Saccharomyces cerevisiae S288C: one gene and its partners. Changing the gene in region 4 together with the main gene of any one other region gives a genetic interaction. Each region holds a gene or a part of one and is shown on either strand. Other genes may lie near its edges. The genes, in order: KGD1, HVG1, YLR012C and SAM2.

Evidence for each region.
Region 1: mutations in SAM2 (region 4) and KGD1 together harm fitness more than expected from each alone (negative genetic interaction), as found in Saccharomyces cerevisiae (one large-scale study listed by BioGRID).
Region 2: mutations in SAM2 (region 4) and HVG1 together harm fitness more than expected from each alone (negative genetic interaction), as found in Saccharomyces cerevisiae (one large-scale study listed by BioGRID).
Region 3: mutations in SAM2 (region 4) and YLR012C together harm fitness more than expected from each alone (negative genetic interaction), as found in Saccharomyces cerevisiae (one large-scale study listed by BioGRID).

What each region holds. Positions count from the first base shown.
Region 1 is NC_001141.2:120,415-126,663, reverse strand, and holds KGD1 (alpha-ketoglutarate dehydrogenase KGD1), read right to left. Parts: upstream 3,976-6,249; coding exon 931-3,975; downstream 1-930. Other genes in the region: AYR1 (acylglycerone-phosphate reductase), read right to left, coding at 1-460; RSC chromatin remodeling complex ATPase subunit STH1, read right to left, coding at 4,593-6,249. UniProt on the Saccharomyces cerevisiae protein: The 2-oxoglutarate dehydrogenase complex catalyzes the overall conversion of 2-oxoglutarate to succinyl-CoA and CO(2).
Region 2 is NC_001137.3:227,956-231,874, forward strand, and holds HVG1 (putative GDP-mannose transporter), read right to left. Parts: upstream 1,251-3,919; coding exon 501-1,250; downstream 1-500. Other genes in the region: Smc5-Smc6 complex subunit KRE29, read right to left, coding at 1-297; FMP49 (Fmp49p), read left to right, coding at 496-876; YER039C-A (uncharacterized protein), read right to left, coding at 1,308-1,526; nitrogen-responsive transcriptional regulator GLN3, read left to right, coding at 1,840-3,919. UniProt on the Saccharomyces cerevisiae protein: Involved in the import of GDP-mannose from the cytoplasm into the Golgi lumen.
Region 3 is NC_001144.5:168,933-172,222, forward strand, and holds YLR012C (uncharacterized protein), read right to left. Parts: upstream 1,350-3,290; coding exon 1,050-1,349; downstream 1-1,049. Other genes in the region: LOT6 (flavin-dependent quinone reductase), read left to right, coding at 171-746; GAT3 (Gat3p), read left to right, coding at 2,407-2,832.
Region 4 is NC_001136.10:1,452,611-1,456,873, reverse strand, and holds SAM2 (methionine adenosyltransferase SAM2), read left to right. Parts: upstream 1-2,409; coding exon 2,410-3,564; downstream 3,565-4,263. Other genes in the region: PSP1 (Psp1p), read left to right, coding at 1-179; SPG3 (Spg3p), read left to right, coding at 180-563; phosphatidate phosphatase LPP1, read left to right, coding at 1,008-1,832; PLM2 (Plm2p), read right to left, coding at 3,956-4,263. UniProt on the Saccharomyces cerevisiae protein: Catalyzes the formation of S-adenosylmethionine from methionine and ATP. The reaction comprises two steps that are both catalyzed by the same enzyme: formation of S-adenosylmethionine (AdoMet) and triphosphate, and subsequent hydrolysis of the triphosphate.

The DNA of each region.
Region 1 (6,249 bases), on a different chromosome or scaffold from region 4:
CAAAGGGGAATGACACAACTCCTGCCAAGGAACCAGTGAAGACAATGGTTCCTTTCGCTTTAATAAGGAACTCCGACAATTCACGGCACATGTTGATATGACCAAACACATTGACCTTAAAGCATTGTTCTACTGCAGCATCTGTTGCATCCAATGCAGGGAATGTACAACTCTGACCGGCATTGTTGTACAATAAATCTAATTTACCATCAGGTAAATTAGCTCGCAAAAAACCAGAAAATGTTACAATTTCTTCTGGCTTGGAAATATCCAACTTATATGGTTTGATACTATCGTTACCAAATTGGATGGCCAATTGTGCCATTGGTTCTAGTCTTCTTGCACATGCATAAACCAAATAGCCATTTCTGGCTAATTCCTTCGTTACCTCATATCCAATACCACCTGAGGCGCCTGTAACAACGGCAATCTTTTTAGGTTGTGACTGTAACTCCGACATACTCTTTGAAATCCTGATCAATATTTGAATTGAGTATATATTAATAGAAGTTGGGCATGATGAATAAAACTTATTCACTCTATTTACCTACCCCCTTCCCCCTTTCCATTGACTTATTTTTCACTTTTTTTCTCCACCGGATGAGGACAAGAGAAGCACCTAGCTGTGAATACACCAGAGGAGGAAGTAGGGGGAAAAAAACGATATCAATATAAAGTAAAGAATGATTCTTGAATAAATAGTAAATACAACTAATAAAAAAAGGTTCACATAAATAAAACGTTAAATTAAATAATTTTAAAAAGACTAAGCAGATGCTAACATCATGAACAAAAAAAAAATGTGAATGTATCAAAAAAAATATTTGTTAGATCATTCTTCAAGTAAAAAGGCTGTCCATAAACATTAAGGTAAAAATATTACGTGTTTATATGGCTGTATTTTCATGTTTTTCATATTTGAATTCATCTTTAGGATTGTTGGAAAACATCTTTCAAAAAGGCATCTTCTTCGGCCAAATGTAGTGATTTGCTACCGGCAGCAACAGCACCACTTGGGTTTCTACCACAGTATCTGACCTTGAAATCCTTATATTTATCCGTTTCTTTTAATGTTGTGTGTAAGCGTGGTTCTGTGTATGCCCACGAACCCATGTTCAATGGCTCTTCCTGGCACCAAACAATTTCTTCCAAGTTTGGATAAGAATTTAATGAATCACGTAGCTGAGCAAATGGGAATGGGTGCAGCTGTTCAATCTTTAAGAAAGCAGTGGTCTTATCACCCAAACTTTCACGTCTTTTATGTAGGGCAGTGTACACTTGGCCACTCAGCAAAACTAATCTCTTGGTTTCCTCTTTCGTACCAATACTTTTTCCATGTTCAATATCTTCGATAATCCATTGGAATCCGCCTTCAGTGAATTCGGAAAGAGATGATCTGGCCAATGGGTGACGCAGCAGCTGTTTAGAAAAGAATAACGCCAATGGTTTACGGAATTGACGATGTTGCTGTCTCCTTAGAATGTGGAATAAATTAGCAGGCGTAGTTGGATAAACAACCTGGAAATTACAATCCTGATGTTGTCTCTGTAGCTTTTCTTCAGATGGGAAATATCTTGGGTCTTCATTGGCTAGTTGCAAGAATCTTTCCAATCTACCAGACGAATGTTCTGGCCCCTGGCCATCATAACCATGGGGTAAAGACAAAACTAAACCAGAGCGTTGCTTCCATTTTTGTTCACCACCGGCAATAAATTGGTCAATAATAACCTGTGCTGTATTTGCAAAGTCACCGAATTGAGCCTCCCACATGACTAGATAATCTGGGGAGGTTAGCGAATAACCATATTCGAAACCCATTACACCGTACTCAGATAACGAGGAATTTGCAATGGTGAAGTCTGCCTTTTCATTATTCAGAGTGCTTAGCGGTGTGTAAATGGCTTCAGATTGTTGGTCATGCAAGACTGCATGACGTTGAGAAAATGTACCTCTTTCTACATCTTCACCGGAAACCCTAACGTTCTGACCATCCAAAACCAATGTACCGAACGCTAATGCTTCACCGGTGGCCCAATCGATGCCTTCACCTGTCTCAATAGATTTTCCTCTATTTTTCAAAATTCTCTTTAGATTTTTGTGCACTTCAAAACCTTCTGGCCACGAAGAGAGTACCTTACCTAGTTCTTTCAAAGTACTCTCTGGAACATTAGTTGGTTCATGTGGTAATATCTCAGTGGCCAATTCCTTTGGGGATTTGAATCCTTCCCAGGCAGCAGTTAACCATTCTCTTTGAGATGGGACGTAATCCTTTGCCTTTTCGAAAGCATCTTCAAATAAGTTCCATACCCATTTCTTGTGCTCATCAATATCTTTTTTAGAAAATGTGCCTTCACTTATCAATTTTTCCGTATAGACGTCAATGACAGATTTTTGTTTTGCAATTTTTTTGTACATTAATGGTTGAGTAAACGATGGCTGATCGGTTTCATTATGTCCATGTTTTCTCCAACCAACGACATCAATTATGGCATCTGTGTGGAACTTATGTCTCCATTCTGCGGCTAAATTGAAAATAAAGGTCACAGCTTCCACGTCATTAGCGTTAACATGGAAAATTGGGGCATCAATGGCCTTAGCCAAATCGGAAGGATATGGTGTGGACCTTGCAAATCTTGGATCCGTAGTGAATCCGATCTGGTTGTTTGTAATAACATGAATAGTACCACCAGTAGAGTATTCTGGTAGGGTCAAGAAACCCATGGTTTCATAAACAACACCCTGCCCAGCAAAAGCAGCATCACCATGTAATAACACACCTAAGGCCTTTGTTTTTTCCTTCAAATCGTTCTTGGCATGCAATAAAGCTCTAGTTCTACCAAGAACAACTGGATCTTGGGATTCTAAATGAGAAGGATTTGCCACCAGCGATAAATTGACGTACTTACCAGACGTAGTTGGTCTTTGGTAGTTCATACCCAAATGGTACTTGACATCACCCGATCCTTCAATATCATCGCGAGCGCTCGAACCCTTAAATTCAGAAAAAATAGATTCATTTGGTTTACGGACCACATTGGATAAAACGTTCAATCTACCACGGTGAGCCATACCCAAAACAATATCTTCTACACCCAATTCAACAGAACGATCAACCAAAGTTTTAATACCTGGAACAACACTTTCCAAACCTTCTAAACCGAACCTCTTATCATTTGGAAATTTTGTAGATAAGAATGACTCAAAAGAAGTGGCCCATGTTAATCTATCTAAGATTTGTCTCTTTTGGTCCACTGTATATTGGTAAGGTTCAGGAATCTCAATTCTCTCTCTTAACCAATCACACTTTTGCTTAGATGGAATATGTGTGTATTGTACCCCATAAGAGGAACAATATAACTTTTCTAGATGATCCACAATCTCTTTCAGAGACATTTTAGATTTCCCGTCCCTTGCAAACCTTGGCAGGATACCAGGTCCTAGGTTGATTTCTTTATCAAGATCGTGTTTGCTAAAGCCGTAGTAGTCTAGAGTCAATTCCGGAGGAACAGGGTTATTTTTATTACTACCAAATGAGATCCCTAAAGGATCTATATGGGCTTTTAAATGACCTCTAACTTGGTAAGCTCTACATAGCAATTGCACTTTTAGATGAATGGAGACGTTCTCATCTACTGAACCAGTCATTGCGGTCCCTAAGGGAGCTGCTTCGGTACCCTGGGGAAAGTTACTGATACTGGGAGGAGCCTGAAAAGCCTTTGTAGCTGGAATCTTTGGGTTAGACATATTCTTGAAATATGCGTCCCATGAAACATGGACTGAAGATGGGTCTTTTTGCCAAGCTTGGTACATTTCATCGATATAGGTGGCATTTGATGTCGATAGAAAATTATCTGTACCAGTGGTGGCTAACCCTCTTCCGACAATTTTGACAGTAGATGCATTTTTAAGTAAAGATGTTTTTAATAGTCCTCTTGAACTATACCGGCAGGTTTGCGAAGACACGAACCTTAGCATAACGGTAAAATTTAGTATTTTCTAAAAACTGCTTTCTTTCTCTTTTGTTGTTTCTTTCAAACGAAACTTTAATTTGGGGAAATTAGGAAGAAGTATGATGCTGAACGAGAATCGCTTCCTTCTCTCTTCCTATCTATATTCAGCTGCTGCGACTATGTGACAGAAACAAAATTGAGGGCGAAAAACAAACAAGATATGATCTTATTAAATAACACACGGGTTTGTTAAAGTATAAATAGTACACACCCAATGAATCTAAACCGTTATCGTAAATCGGACTTACATGTAGGTCTTGACTCCCGCAGTCCCTTTGCCAATCATTTATGTGTAATGCCTCTTTCTTATTTGCAGAGGCCCCTTCCTTAGCCCCGGAATCGCAAACGGTCGAAGCTAACTGGTCCATCGCCGCCGGGTAATTATTTTGCGGCACTAATAAGCCCAGAGAATAAGCCAAAGGATATTAGTTACTCAAAGAATTATATTCGCTCTGTCGATCTTATTGTTACAGTGGTATATATTTTATAAACATATGTAGAGGTAGAAAAAAAGGCTAGAAAGAGTATTAGAGGGGAAAGGGATATAGTCGTAAAAAAAAAAAACATGTGGTGATGAAAACGTTACGAAGAGTGTTCCTTGAACCATTCATCAGTAAACTCATTTAACTTGTCAGCATCAACGTAAACCCAGGATCCCTCTTCATTATAGAATCTAGCATTTTCAAACATCGTTTGTAAGGCTTGCCTTACCTCCTCCAAAGTTTTGTAAGTGCCATTCTTGCAGTTTTTCAATATAATATCAATGGCCATGGGTTTTTCAATTACTTTAAAATAGTCCGGATAGTCGCGTTTCGAAGGAAGCTTTTCAAAAATGGACGTCCTTGGATGGGAGTCTACCTCATCTAACTGTTCGCGCATTTCTTCCACCAATTTTTCCACCGTGGGAAAAATCCCAAGCGACTTGGATTTAGTTTTAGTTTTTTTGGCTGCAGTCTTCTTCGCGGGCGATTTACTCTCTGGCTTTTCTTCTGCTCGCTTACCATCATTATTCTCCAACACAGTTGTTTTGTTTAGTTTGATCTTGACGGTCAGTTTCGGTTTCTTTTTCTTGGATTCTGAACCATTTATAATTTCAACGGAGCTACTTTTTACTTCCTCTTCCACCTTAGCGCCCCCGTTTTCTTGAGATGTACTCTCTTCTTGAGTATTCTCTTTGTCTTCTGCCGTAACAATGCTAATGGTCCTTTTCTTTCTACTACTCCGGCGTTTTGACCTGGAAGCTGTAGTCTCTTTATCAGCATTAGTTTCCTCATCCACAGCTGCAGTGAAGCTATTGTTCTCAATCAATGAAGTTTCGGATGCTTCAGGCGTGTTTTCCAGGGTTTCTATTTCATTCTCTTTTGTACCATTTTGACGTAATCTCCTTCTTTCACGTGCTTCACGTCTTTTTTTAATGGCATCTTCTAAAGACATATTATCATCTTCTACAGCCTCCAAAAATTGTTCTTCAGTTAGACCGTCATCATAGTAAACTCTTTTCTTTTGTCTAATCCTTCCCAATGGTTCAGAATCCTCTTTCTTGAAATGTTCTTCAATGTCTTCTCTGAATACTTTGGGTAGCTCGTCTAATTGAATCAATCTAGGAGGAGGGACTCTCAGGCCTTGCGCTTTAGCATCTGCTCTTTCTTGGTTCATTCTCTCCTTATCAATTTTATCAAATAGTATTTTTTCATCAGCGCTTCTGGCCAAAGTATCGTTTAACTCATCGTCATCTAATTCTGCTTTGTCATCATCATCCCTGTTCGTTTCACTTTCGATCAATCTTCTCAAAAAAGCTTCTTGCTCTTCTGCAGTTGATTTGTTATCAAACTTACCTGCCTGGATAACCTTGCCGTCAATGTCCAATTTCTGCATAGCTCTTTCCAAAATAACTTCCTCTACGGAATCAGTGGTAATTAATCTTAAAATTCTAACCTCATTCTTTTGTCCAATTCTGTGAGCTCTATCTTGGGCCTGTAAATCTTGGTGTGGATTCCAATCTGTATCAAAGATGATCACCGTATCTGCAGTTTGTAAATTCAAACCCAAACCACCGGCTCTAGTTGACAAAAGGAAACAGAAATAATCTGAATCTGGAGCATTAAATGCATTCAGCATTTCTGTTCTTTCTTCAGTCTTAGTGCTACCATCTAATCTCATATACTTCAAATCTTTCATTCTTAGGAAGTCTTCCATAATATCCATAACTTGAGTCATTTGGAAAAACATTAGCACTCTG
Region 2 (3,919 bases), on a different chromosome or scaffold from region 4:
TGCCTTTCTTTTGGAAATGATGGTTCTTTTTAAGATTGGATCAAAATCGTCTCCAGACTCCGCCTTGGCACCAGAAAGATTCAAATCGCTGTTCTCTAGGCTAGAAAACTCTTCGTCGCTATTCAAACTGTCGTTCTCAGGATCACTAATAAAGTTGGGATGCACCTTCTCATCGTCATCGTCATCGCGAAAGTAACTTCCCACACTAGTCGGTATCAAAGGAGAATCAAACCCTGAAATTTGTGAATCTGGCACAGTTTCAAACTCTTCATTCGGTGATGAGTTCACGCTTCCCATTTGTGACACTGCCCTTTTGTGCGTCTAACAAAATTTTATCACTTTATTGCTATTTACTTGAAAAATTATATATGAATATATTTCATAAAACGATGCTGACATAATATGTAACATAAAAAAAGGAATAACCTAAAACAAATACAAAGAAGACCCCATATAAATGAATATAAATGTATATTTTGCTTGAGCAAATGAAGAATGTACTACTTCTCAAGAGTAGCTGCTAGAACTTTTTGCTGTTGTATCTTTTTCTGTTTAGCCACAGCGTACAGCAGGCCAGACAGAAATCCTAGAAAGATAGAAAAGAAGGACAAAAAGTTTTTTGGAGCGTCAAAGAACACCAATCCCGCCAACGCTATGGGCAATTTGTTCAAAGCACCAACCATAGAATACGTTGTAGAGGAAGTTACACGAACACACCAGCCGGAACAGTACGATATCCCCACGGACATGAGCCCACTGATGACCATTGCTGCCAGTGAGTCGGCGGACAAGTTCACAGACAAATTCTTTGTGGACCAATCTTCCATAATGAAGGAAAAGACTAGCAGCAAAGGCAATGCCAGAACGTTGTTATAAAACATAGTATCATAGTCTTTAAAGTTAGTCAGCCGAATTCTCTTCCGCATAATCAAAACGAACAATGCAGACGAAATACAATTGGTGAACATCCAGAGGTACCCCGGATTCAACACAAAGATGGTTGACTCAACAAGTTCCTGATCGAGATCCTCCAAAGATGATGCTTTGATTGCAATGGCCTGCTGATCGCCCCAGGTGGCCACTACAGATGAAAGGACCATCATAATAAATGACGTCAACTCCATAGAAGTGACTTTTCCGCCAAAGAAGAGGACCTCGCCATAAGCAATGAGAATGATCGTCAGATTCTTGAAAATTGTGTAGATGGGCACGGCAAGGTATTGTAAGCTCTTTGACGACGTATAAATCATCAATACGAGCAGCAAAGAAATTGGAAACCAGTTTTTTACATCTGTCCTGTTCAAAGATCAAAAATTAGCAACGCCTACAATTCGTAGGATACATAGCGTCACAGTGCACACCAGTGATTGTACAAACAACATCACAAAGTTCATGTTAAAGTTGTCCAGGTTAACCACGAATTTGTTCGTTACTGTCATCAAAATCGAGGACGCGCAGTAAGATAAGATTGAAGCCGGCCCAGAGTTGGCCACTGATTCCGTCCATTCATGCTTATGCTTGCTCATAATTACCACACCTTCTTGATCTCTTTACAGCTTTTCAACCTTCCATTCTTGTACTCTATCTCTACCTGGCCCTTTAAACATTCTTAATATGATATATTCACATTTTTTGCTCTATTACCCGGCGGACAGGTTCCCGAAAGAAAGTGACATGGCAATGCTGAGAGAGTGGAAAGAGTCATCTTGCAAGACAGAGAAAGATGTTCAAGAGTGGTAAGCTAATGTCAGCGCAGTAGCCCATCCCACAATAACAGAGTGTGTAAGAAAGAGAGACGAGAGAGAGCACAGGGCCCCCTTTTCCCCCACCAACAAACAAATGCAAGACGACCCCGAAAATTCGAAGCTGTACGACCTGCTGAATAGTCATCTGGACGTGCATGGTCGAAGTAATGAAGAGCCGAGACAAACTGGTGACAGTAGGAGCCAGAGTAGTGGCAACACCGGTGAAAACGAGGAGGATATAGCATTTGCCAGTGGATTAAACGGCGGCACATTCGACTCAATGCTGGAGGCACTGCCCGATGATTTATATTTTACGGACTTCGTGTCTCCTTTTACAGCAGCTGCCACGACCAGCGTGACTACTAAGACGGTCAAGGACACCACACCAGCTACCAATCATATGGATGATGATATTGCGATGTTTGATTCACTTGCCACAACTCAGCCCATCGACATAGCCGCATCCAACCAACAAAATGGTGAAATTGCACAACTTTGGGACTTTAACGTGGACCAATTCAACATGACGCCCAGCAACTCGAGCGGTTCAGCTACTATTAGTGCTCCTAACAGCTTTACTTCCGACATACCGCAATACAACCACGGTTCCCTCGGCAACAGCGTCTCCAAATCCTCACTGTTCCCGTATAATTCCAGCACGTCCAACAGCAACATCAACCAGCCATCTATCAATAACAACTCAAATACTAATGCGCAGTCCCACCATTCCTTCAACATCTACAAACTACAAAACAACAACTCATCTTCATCCGCTATGAACATTACCAATAATAATAATAGCAACAATAGTAATATCCAGCATCCTTTTCTGAAGAAGAGCGATTCGATAGGATTATCTTCATCCAACACAACAAATTCTGTAAGAAAAAACTCACTTATCAAGCCAATGTCGTCCACGTCCCTGGCCAATTTCAAAAGAGCTGCCTCAGTATCTTCCAGTATATCCAATATGGAACCATCAGGACAAAATAAAAAACCTCTGATACAATGTTTCAATTGTAAAACTTTCAAGACACCGCTTTGGAGGAGAAGCCCAGAGGGGAATACTCTTTGCAATGCCTGCGGTCTTTTCCAGAAATTACATGGTACCATGAGGCCATTATCCTTAAAATCGGACGTTATCAAAAAGAGGATTTCAAAGAAGAGAGCCAAACAAACGGACCCAAACATTGCACAAAATACTCCAAGTGCACCTGCAACTGCCTCAACTTCAGTAACCACTACAAATGCTAAACCCATACGATCGAGGAAAAAATCACTACAACAAAACTCTTTATCTAGAGTGATACCTGAAGAAATCATTAGAGACAACATCGGTAATACTAATAATATCCTTAATGTAAATAGGGGAGGCTATAACTTCAACTCAGTCCCCTCCCCGGTCCTCATGAACAGCCAATCGTATAATAGTAGTAACGCAAATTTTAATGGAGCAAGCAATGCAAATTTGAATTCTAATAACTTAATGCGTCACAATTCGAACACTGTTACTCCTAATTTTAGAAGGTCTTCAAGACGAAGTAGTACTTCATCGAACACCTCAAGTTCCAGTAAATCTTCATCCAGATCTGTTGTTCCGATATTACCAAAACCTTCACCTAATAGCGCTAATTCACAGCAGTTCAACATGAACATGAACCTAATGAACACAACAAATAATGTAAGTGCAGGAAATAGTGTCGCATCCTCACCAAGAATTATATCGTCCGCAAACTTTAACTCAAATAGTCCTCTACAGCAGAATCTATTATCAAATTCTTTCCAACGTCAAGGAATGAATATACCAAGAAGAAAGATGTCGCGCAATGCATCGTACTCCTCATCGTTTATGGCTGCGTCTTTGCAACAACTGCACGAACAGCAACAAGTGGACGTGAATTCCAACACAAACACGAATTCGAATAGACAGAATTGGAATTCAAGCAATAGCGTTTCAACAAATTCAAGATCATCAAATTTTGTCTCTCAAAAGCCAAATTTTGATATTTTTAATACTCCTGTAGATTCACCGAGTGTCTCAAGACCTTCTTCAAGAAAATCACATACCTCATTGTTATCACAACAATTGCAGAACTCGGAGTCGAATTCGTTTATCTCAAATCACAAATTTAACAATAGATTATCAAGTGACTCTACTTCACCTATAAAATATG
Region 3 (3,290 bases), on a different chromosome or scaffold from region 4:
TCACATGGTTACGAATGTAAATATGAATCAAAGAAGGTGCAAAATCAAAAAAAATCGAAAGATTTGACATGCCTATTGAAAAGGGAAAGTTGTATATCTATCAATTGTTAATTAGTTACTTGGTCATCTCCATTACCAGCTGAGGTGCTTAGTCGACAACCGCATTAAACATGAAAGTGGGTATTATAATGGGTTCTGTGAGGGCAAAGAGGGTATGCCCAGAAATTGCAGCATACGTAAAACGTACAATTGAAAATAGCGAAGAATTAATAGACCAGAAGCTGAAAATACAAGTAGTAGATTTACAACAGATTGCTCTTCCCTTATATGAAGATGATGACGAACTGATCCCTGCGCAAATAAAGAGCGTGGATGAGTATGCAGACAGCAAAACTCGATCGTGGAGTCGCATCGTAAATGCATTAGATATTATTGTATTCGTTACACCTCAATATAATTGGGGGTATCCAGCAGCCTTAAAAAATGCAATTGATCGTCTTTACCATGAATGGCACGGAAAACCTGCCCTGGTGGTAAGCTACGGCGGTCATGGCGGTAGTAAGTGTAATGACCAACTTCAAGAGGTACTACATGGTTTGAAGATGAATGTTATAGGTGGAGTGGCGGTGAAAATACCGGTAGGTACGATACCGTTACCCGAGGACATTGTACCACAACTCAGCGTGCACAATGAAGAGATCCTGCAATTACTCGCATCGTGCATCGAAACAACGAGGAATAAATAAACCATAAAATTTAACTGTAGTCGCAATAAAAGATGAAAAGCTAACACAATTATCATAGGACACTGTAATCCAGACTTTAATTAGTATTAAGTATTGAGTACAAAGTACAAAGTATTATACTAACGGTAGTTTGGGCTCTTCGATTACCCATACACTTTTAATGGACTAATTTCATCAAGTTTCATTCGAAAATTTTCTTAAAATATATATATGCGTAGTGGTATAGTATTCATATTTCATGAACTTATTTCATAAAAAAAGATAAAGCAAACCTAATATTTGGATCGGCGCTCGAAATTATTCTCAGTATTCTTCAGCATTAGACATCTTTAACATATCAATCTTTAAAAGGTTTCTTCTTCTTCTGTAGCTCGGAATATAAGCATTCATATATGACCATGTTGTAACGCGATCGAACCAAGCAACTTCTTCTTGTGCAAATTTCCTAGCAATACCAGGCACACCTCCTTGACGATCAAATGCAATTCTTTCAGTCTCTTGTTCAAAATCTTTTTGACATAAAGCCAGGTATTTTTCCTGTTGTTCAGGTTGCAGTTGAAGATACTGCTGGTAGGTGATTTCTTTGTAATAGACAGTCTTCATTTGAATATGTTCGAGACTTTTTCTCTTAATCTCTATGAATATTTTCTGTCTTGAAGCTGCCGTCTTCATAGAATGTTGTTCTATTATCCACCTCGAACATGGCCTTTTTATACGTTTTTACATTAAACATCCCCTTCATATTAGTTTGTTCTCGACTTAATTCTACTCATGCTTCTGACATTTTTTCATGCCAAGACCGGCCCTGAAAAAGGGTCCGGATATACGGATAGCGCCACACATTCAATTAGGGGAAGTATTATTTGATACATTGTCAGCACACAGCGATTTAACCCATTATTTGGCATGACAAGCAAGCTATTCGACAGTGAAAAATGCACAGAACATTCAAAATTATACTTATAATATGACTCTTTTCTTTTATTGCAGTTGGTATTATATACATATATATATATATATATATATGTATATGTTCCCCGAGACAATGGTTTTATTTCCAAAAAAAGTGTAAGTAAGTTATTTTCTGTGTATAAAAAAATAAAAGAAGCCAGATGAAGTGCCAGGTGGCGTACCAGGACTTCAGCTTTCTTTAGTTTGCATAATGAAAGTATCACTTACAGCTCCCTTGAAGGATTAGACGCTATTAACCCCGATGAAAACGCATCAACAAAACCTTTAACACAGTACTTATTTGGTGCAATACATACTCACACAAACACCTGTAGAAAATCCCCTTATATGAAAATCCCTTTTTTTTCTTGGCAAGTATTTCTGATAAAATGCGGACAACATTACCTGCTTAGCCGCCTGCCACAGAAAATAAGTAGGCTTCTCTGTAAAATGGAATAATAGGCTAGAGGTCAAAAACCTCCTCTTCAGTCATATCTATGTTTTTAAGGGTCTAGGGTCCAATTTGATGGAAAAGAACAAATGGTCGAGCATGTTAATTAATATTTGTTGCTCTGTTTGAAGAGTATATTATAAGACGAGAGGTTCTTTGAGGGAGCTTATCTTACCTTTTCTTGATTTGAAACAATTTCATTAAATGTAAACAATTATCAACTAGAAGCAAATATAAAGCCAGAAGGAAGAATTTGCTATGAACATTAAGACTTTGTGTCATCCAGAATATAAAAGAATCTCCGTTGAATCGTTATTGAATCCGGTAGAGGAGACAATAGACTGCGAAAAACCTCACTCTCAAACAAAAATCAATACTGCTAAACCCATTAGTGCATCTTTGTATGTCACAACGAATAATACTGCTGTTGTTCAGCACAATGTCCAAAAGAGGAAAGGCGTCACCAGGAGATGTCCACAGTGTGCGGTGATAAAAACTTCTCCGCAATGGAGAGAGGGTCCTGATGGAGAGGTGACATTGTGTAATGCCTGTGGATTATTTTATAGAAAAATATTTTTGGTTTTTGGCAAGGATCTGGCAAAACGGTACTTTAACGAAATAAAAGGTGTGAGCGTCAAACGAAAAGTTCCAAAGAGCCTCTATGGAGTTACAAGAACGCGTTAAGAGAATTTATTTCTGCTCGGAATGTTATATACTTATGTCAAAGCAGTGATTATACATTTATCGACTTTAAACAGTTGATAACGAACATTATGTGTTATTCGAAAGTCAAAGTGCCATACAAAACAAGTGGTTTCTCAGTTCTTGCAATTTTTCTTTATCAGCGTAGTCCCAGAAAAAAAAATCATCACTGGAAATGTAAGATGAATTCAAGTATCAAGTGCCGTTGGTATTATAGTTTATCAATTAATACGTAAATATATATATATATATATATATATATATATATGACTATAGTGGCATACTTCTCAATGGACTGTTGCTTCTATCATTTTATACATGCGTTCAACTTTGAAGATTATCACAAAAACCTCAAACTTTTCAATTAATCTGCCCCGGTCATTTAAGTTAGCTCTTTTAGGACTCTCATGTTTTCAAAAAATAGATTGAAAAGAGCATTG
Region 4 (4,263 bases):
TGAAATTATATCAAAACATAGTAAAAAATTACAATGCTGAAGATTTAATGAATGTCAATGAGTTTTCGCAGAACAGGGGGAATAACAGAGTTAATTTTGCACCTCCGTTGAACGAAATTGAACTCGACAACTTTCAGATTGCTGTGTATGAAGAATTAGTTCACGAATTATTTCATTAAATGATCTGTTATTTCCTTGTTGTAACTATAAATTTTCTAAAAGAAAAGACAACCATTTGCCATTATTTTGTTAACATTTTTTCATTGTTTTTGTTTTTGTTTGTTTTTGTTTTTGTTTTTATTTTTGTCTACTTTTTTTATGTTATTTTGTTTTATCGTTTCTGTTCGTTGTTTACCTATTTTCCTGCCAATTCAATTTGGTACTATCTTTCTATTATCAATATTTTCTTTCCCTTATGTTTTTTTCTATATGAAAACTTCACAGGGAGAAATAGAAGAAAATGTTCATTATTCTGTTTAACTTTGATAAAAATTACTTATACGTCTCCCAATCATGGTTTCATGGTCACTGGTAAGGAAAAATTCGAAAAACTACGGGACTAAAAATTTTTTAAAGATTGTCCATATTCCTCGATCCACACTTTCAAGTTTGAGATTTATTGTTGGCAACTTTCTTACATTTTTGTTGTTTCAACTTCTATTTTATATTCTAACAGCCGCTTCCATTTATTTTTCATAGGCTTTATATAAAAAACAAAAAATAATGGAATCAACCAACCCTTATAAACTTATATGTAGTTTACATTTAATCAAGGTCTGTTATCGTGGCTATTGCTCTAATTCATTATTTGTCGACATGTATTGGTTGATAATTTTTGTTTTGGTTCACGCGTAAGAATTTTTTTTCTTGTAGTTGCCACGTGAAACCTGACAACTTATAGTCTTTAAGGGAAGAAAGAAAGCCATTCTTTGAAGTGATTTTACTGCTTTCAAGAGTGAGAAACTCCTACATCAACGCCTAAGGAAACTCGTCATATTCTACCAAGGATGATCTCTGTCATGGCGGATGAGAAACATAAGGAGTATTTTAAGCTATACTACTTTCAGTACATGATAATTGGTCTATGTACGATATTATTCCTCTATTCGGAGATATCCCTGGTACCTAGGGGCCAAAACATCGAATTTAGTCTTGATGACCCCAGTATATCAAAACGTTATGTACCTAACGAACTCGTGGGCCCACTAGAATGTTTGATTTTGAGTGTTGGACTGAGTAACATGGTCGTCTTCTGGACCTGCATGTTTGACAAGGACTTACTGAAGAAGAATAGAGTAAAGAGACTAAGAGAGAGGCCGGACGGAATCTCGAACGATTTTCACTTCATGCATACTAGCATTCTATGTCTGATGCTGATTATAAGCATAAATGCTGCCCTAACAGGCGCCTTAAAGTTGATTATAGGAAACTTGAGGCCTGACTTTGTTGATAGATGTATACCTGACCTCCAAAAGATGAGTGATTCAGATTCTTTGGTTTTTGGCTTGGACATTTGCAAGCAGACTAACAAATGGATTCTATACGAAGGCTTAAAAAGCACTCCAAGCGGACATTCAAGTTTCATAGTCAGTACCATGGGCTTTACATATCTTTGGCAAAGGGTTTTCACCACACGCAATACAAGAAGTTGCATTTGGTGCCCTTTATTAGCTCTAGTAGTAATGGTTTCAAGGGTTATCGATCACAGACATCATTGGTACGATGTTGTCTCTGGAGCTGTTCTAGCATTTTTAGTCATTTATTGTTGCTGGAAATGGACATTTACAAACTTGGCGAAAAGAGACATACTTCCTTCACCGGTTAGTGTTTAGTAACACTTACAGAGTCCTATCAGGAAAGAATAAAAGCCGATCAAGCTTCATTCTCAGGTAACAACTGGAGCACTGGCGAGCTTTGCTCTATTATATAAGATAAAATATGCACTAAAAGTTTGCATTTCTTTACATAACTAAAACTAAGACATTATGCATAGCTTACCTGATCAAAAAGTATGTAAACTTGTTAACATCTTCACATGTGATTCATCTGGTCGTACTTTCTTGCGGTGCAGTGTAATATTTCTACCCACGTGACTATAATTGAGCTTGAAAACTGTGGCGTTTTTCCACCGATGGGTCCACGCCAGATATTAACCGAAGCCAAAATACCGATGAAATTTCTGAGATAGCTCTTGTAAACGACGTCAAATCTTCATATGCAAGGAGATCTTGATTTCTTTTTGGTAGTCATCTGTCGTCTTGAGGCGTATAAGAAGGAGGTTATATCTGTCCTTTCTACAAAGTATTTTCGAGAATCTTGCTTCTGCCCCTTTTTTCTTTTTTTAAAAGGTTTAAAAAACATAACTGTCTTCAATATATCCAGTATTTACGACAATATACAAACATAATCATGTCCAAGAGCAAAACTTTCTTATTTACCTCTGAATCCGTCGGTGAAGGTCACCCAGACAAGATTTGTGACCAAGTTTCTGATGCTATTTTGGACGCTTGTTTAGAACAAGATCCATTCTCCAAGGTTGCCTGTGAAACAGCTGCCAAAACTGGTATGATTATGGTTTTCGGTGAAATTACCACCAAAGCTAGACTTGACTACCAACAAATAGTAAGAGATACCATCAAGAAGATTGGTTATGACGATTCTGCCAAGGGTTTCGACTACAAGACATGTAATGTTTTAGTAGCTATCGAACAACAATCTCCAGATATCGCTCAAGGTCTGCACTATGAAAAGAGCTTAGAAGACTTAGGTGCTGGTGACCAAGGTATAATGTTTGGTTACGCTACAGACGAAACTCCAGAAGGGTTACCATTGACCATTCTTTTGGCTCACAAATTGAACATGGCTATGGCAGATGCTAGAAGAGATGGTTCTCTCCCATGGTTGAGACCAGACACAAAGACTCAAGTCACTGTCGAATACGAAGACGACAATGGTAGATGGGTTCCAAAGAGGATAGATACCGTTGTTATTTCTGCTCAACATGCTGATGAAATTTCCACCGCTGACTTGAGAACTCAACTTCAAAAAGATATTGTTGAAAAGGTCATACCAAAGGATATGTTAGACGAAAATACCAAATATTTCATCCAACCATCCGGTAGATTCGTCATCGGTGGTCCTCAAGGTGACGCTGGTTTGACCGGTAGAAAGATTATTGTCGACGCTTACGGTGGTGCCTCATCCGTCGGTGGTGGTGCCTTCTCCGGTAAGGACTATTCCAAGGTCGATCGTTCCGCTGCTTACGCTGCTAGATGGGTTGCCAAGTCTCTAGTTGCCGCTGGTTTGTGTAAGAGAGTCCAAGTCCAATTTTCATATGCTATTGGTATTGCTGAACCATTGTCTTTACATGTGGACACCTATGGTACAGCTACAAAATCAGATGACGAAATCATTGAAATTATTAAGAAGAACTTCGACTTGAGACCAGGTGTGTTAGTAAAGGAATTAGATTTGGCTAGACCAATTTACTTACCAACCGCTTCTTATGGTCACTTCACTAATCAAGAGTACTCATGGGAAAAACCAAAGAAATTGGAATTTTAAACATTTAGACAATAAATGTTTTATTTTGATTTTTATAATTATTTCAATCCCTTTCTTTATGCTAGGCTGGTCCCGATCACCTCCCTATATTGAGAAGACGATGCCTTATCGTTTGATTCGCTCAACTCGAGTCATGTAATTACTAGAAAATGATACAATAGAAAAGTTTTAAACATTCTTAAACTTGACAAACACCAATAGAATAACATCTAGGCATAATGATCTATTTTGTATGGATTATGTATTAGCTCCTTCAACGGAAATATATAGAAAATATTACTTTATGTTTTTAGAACTTTTTGACGAGTTTTACCAGTTTTTTTCATGATGCTCCACGTGGTAATATGACTATGCTATGGAAATAAGGTTGAAATATAGAATGTCTTTGAGGTTATTTGGTCGGCCTCTTCCAGAAATACTGTTTATGTTTCTTCCTGCACGACCTTAATCGGCTCCTGCCTTTTAACGAATTATACAAAATCTTTCTCTCGTCGCTATCATCGTTTTCAACATCATAGTAATACTCGTCTTCTAATGGCTTGCCAGACGCATCTTTTCCTTCACGCACAATAATACCAATGCAAGAAATAGTCTCCAAGACCTTTTTTAGTTCATCTTTGCTTAATTGTGAAGTGTTGGAATTGATGTTTTGCAATTGGGATAAAGGCGTTTGTTGAAGGTTAGAAAATGCAAGATGAT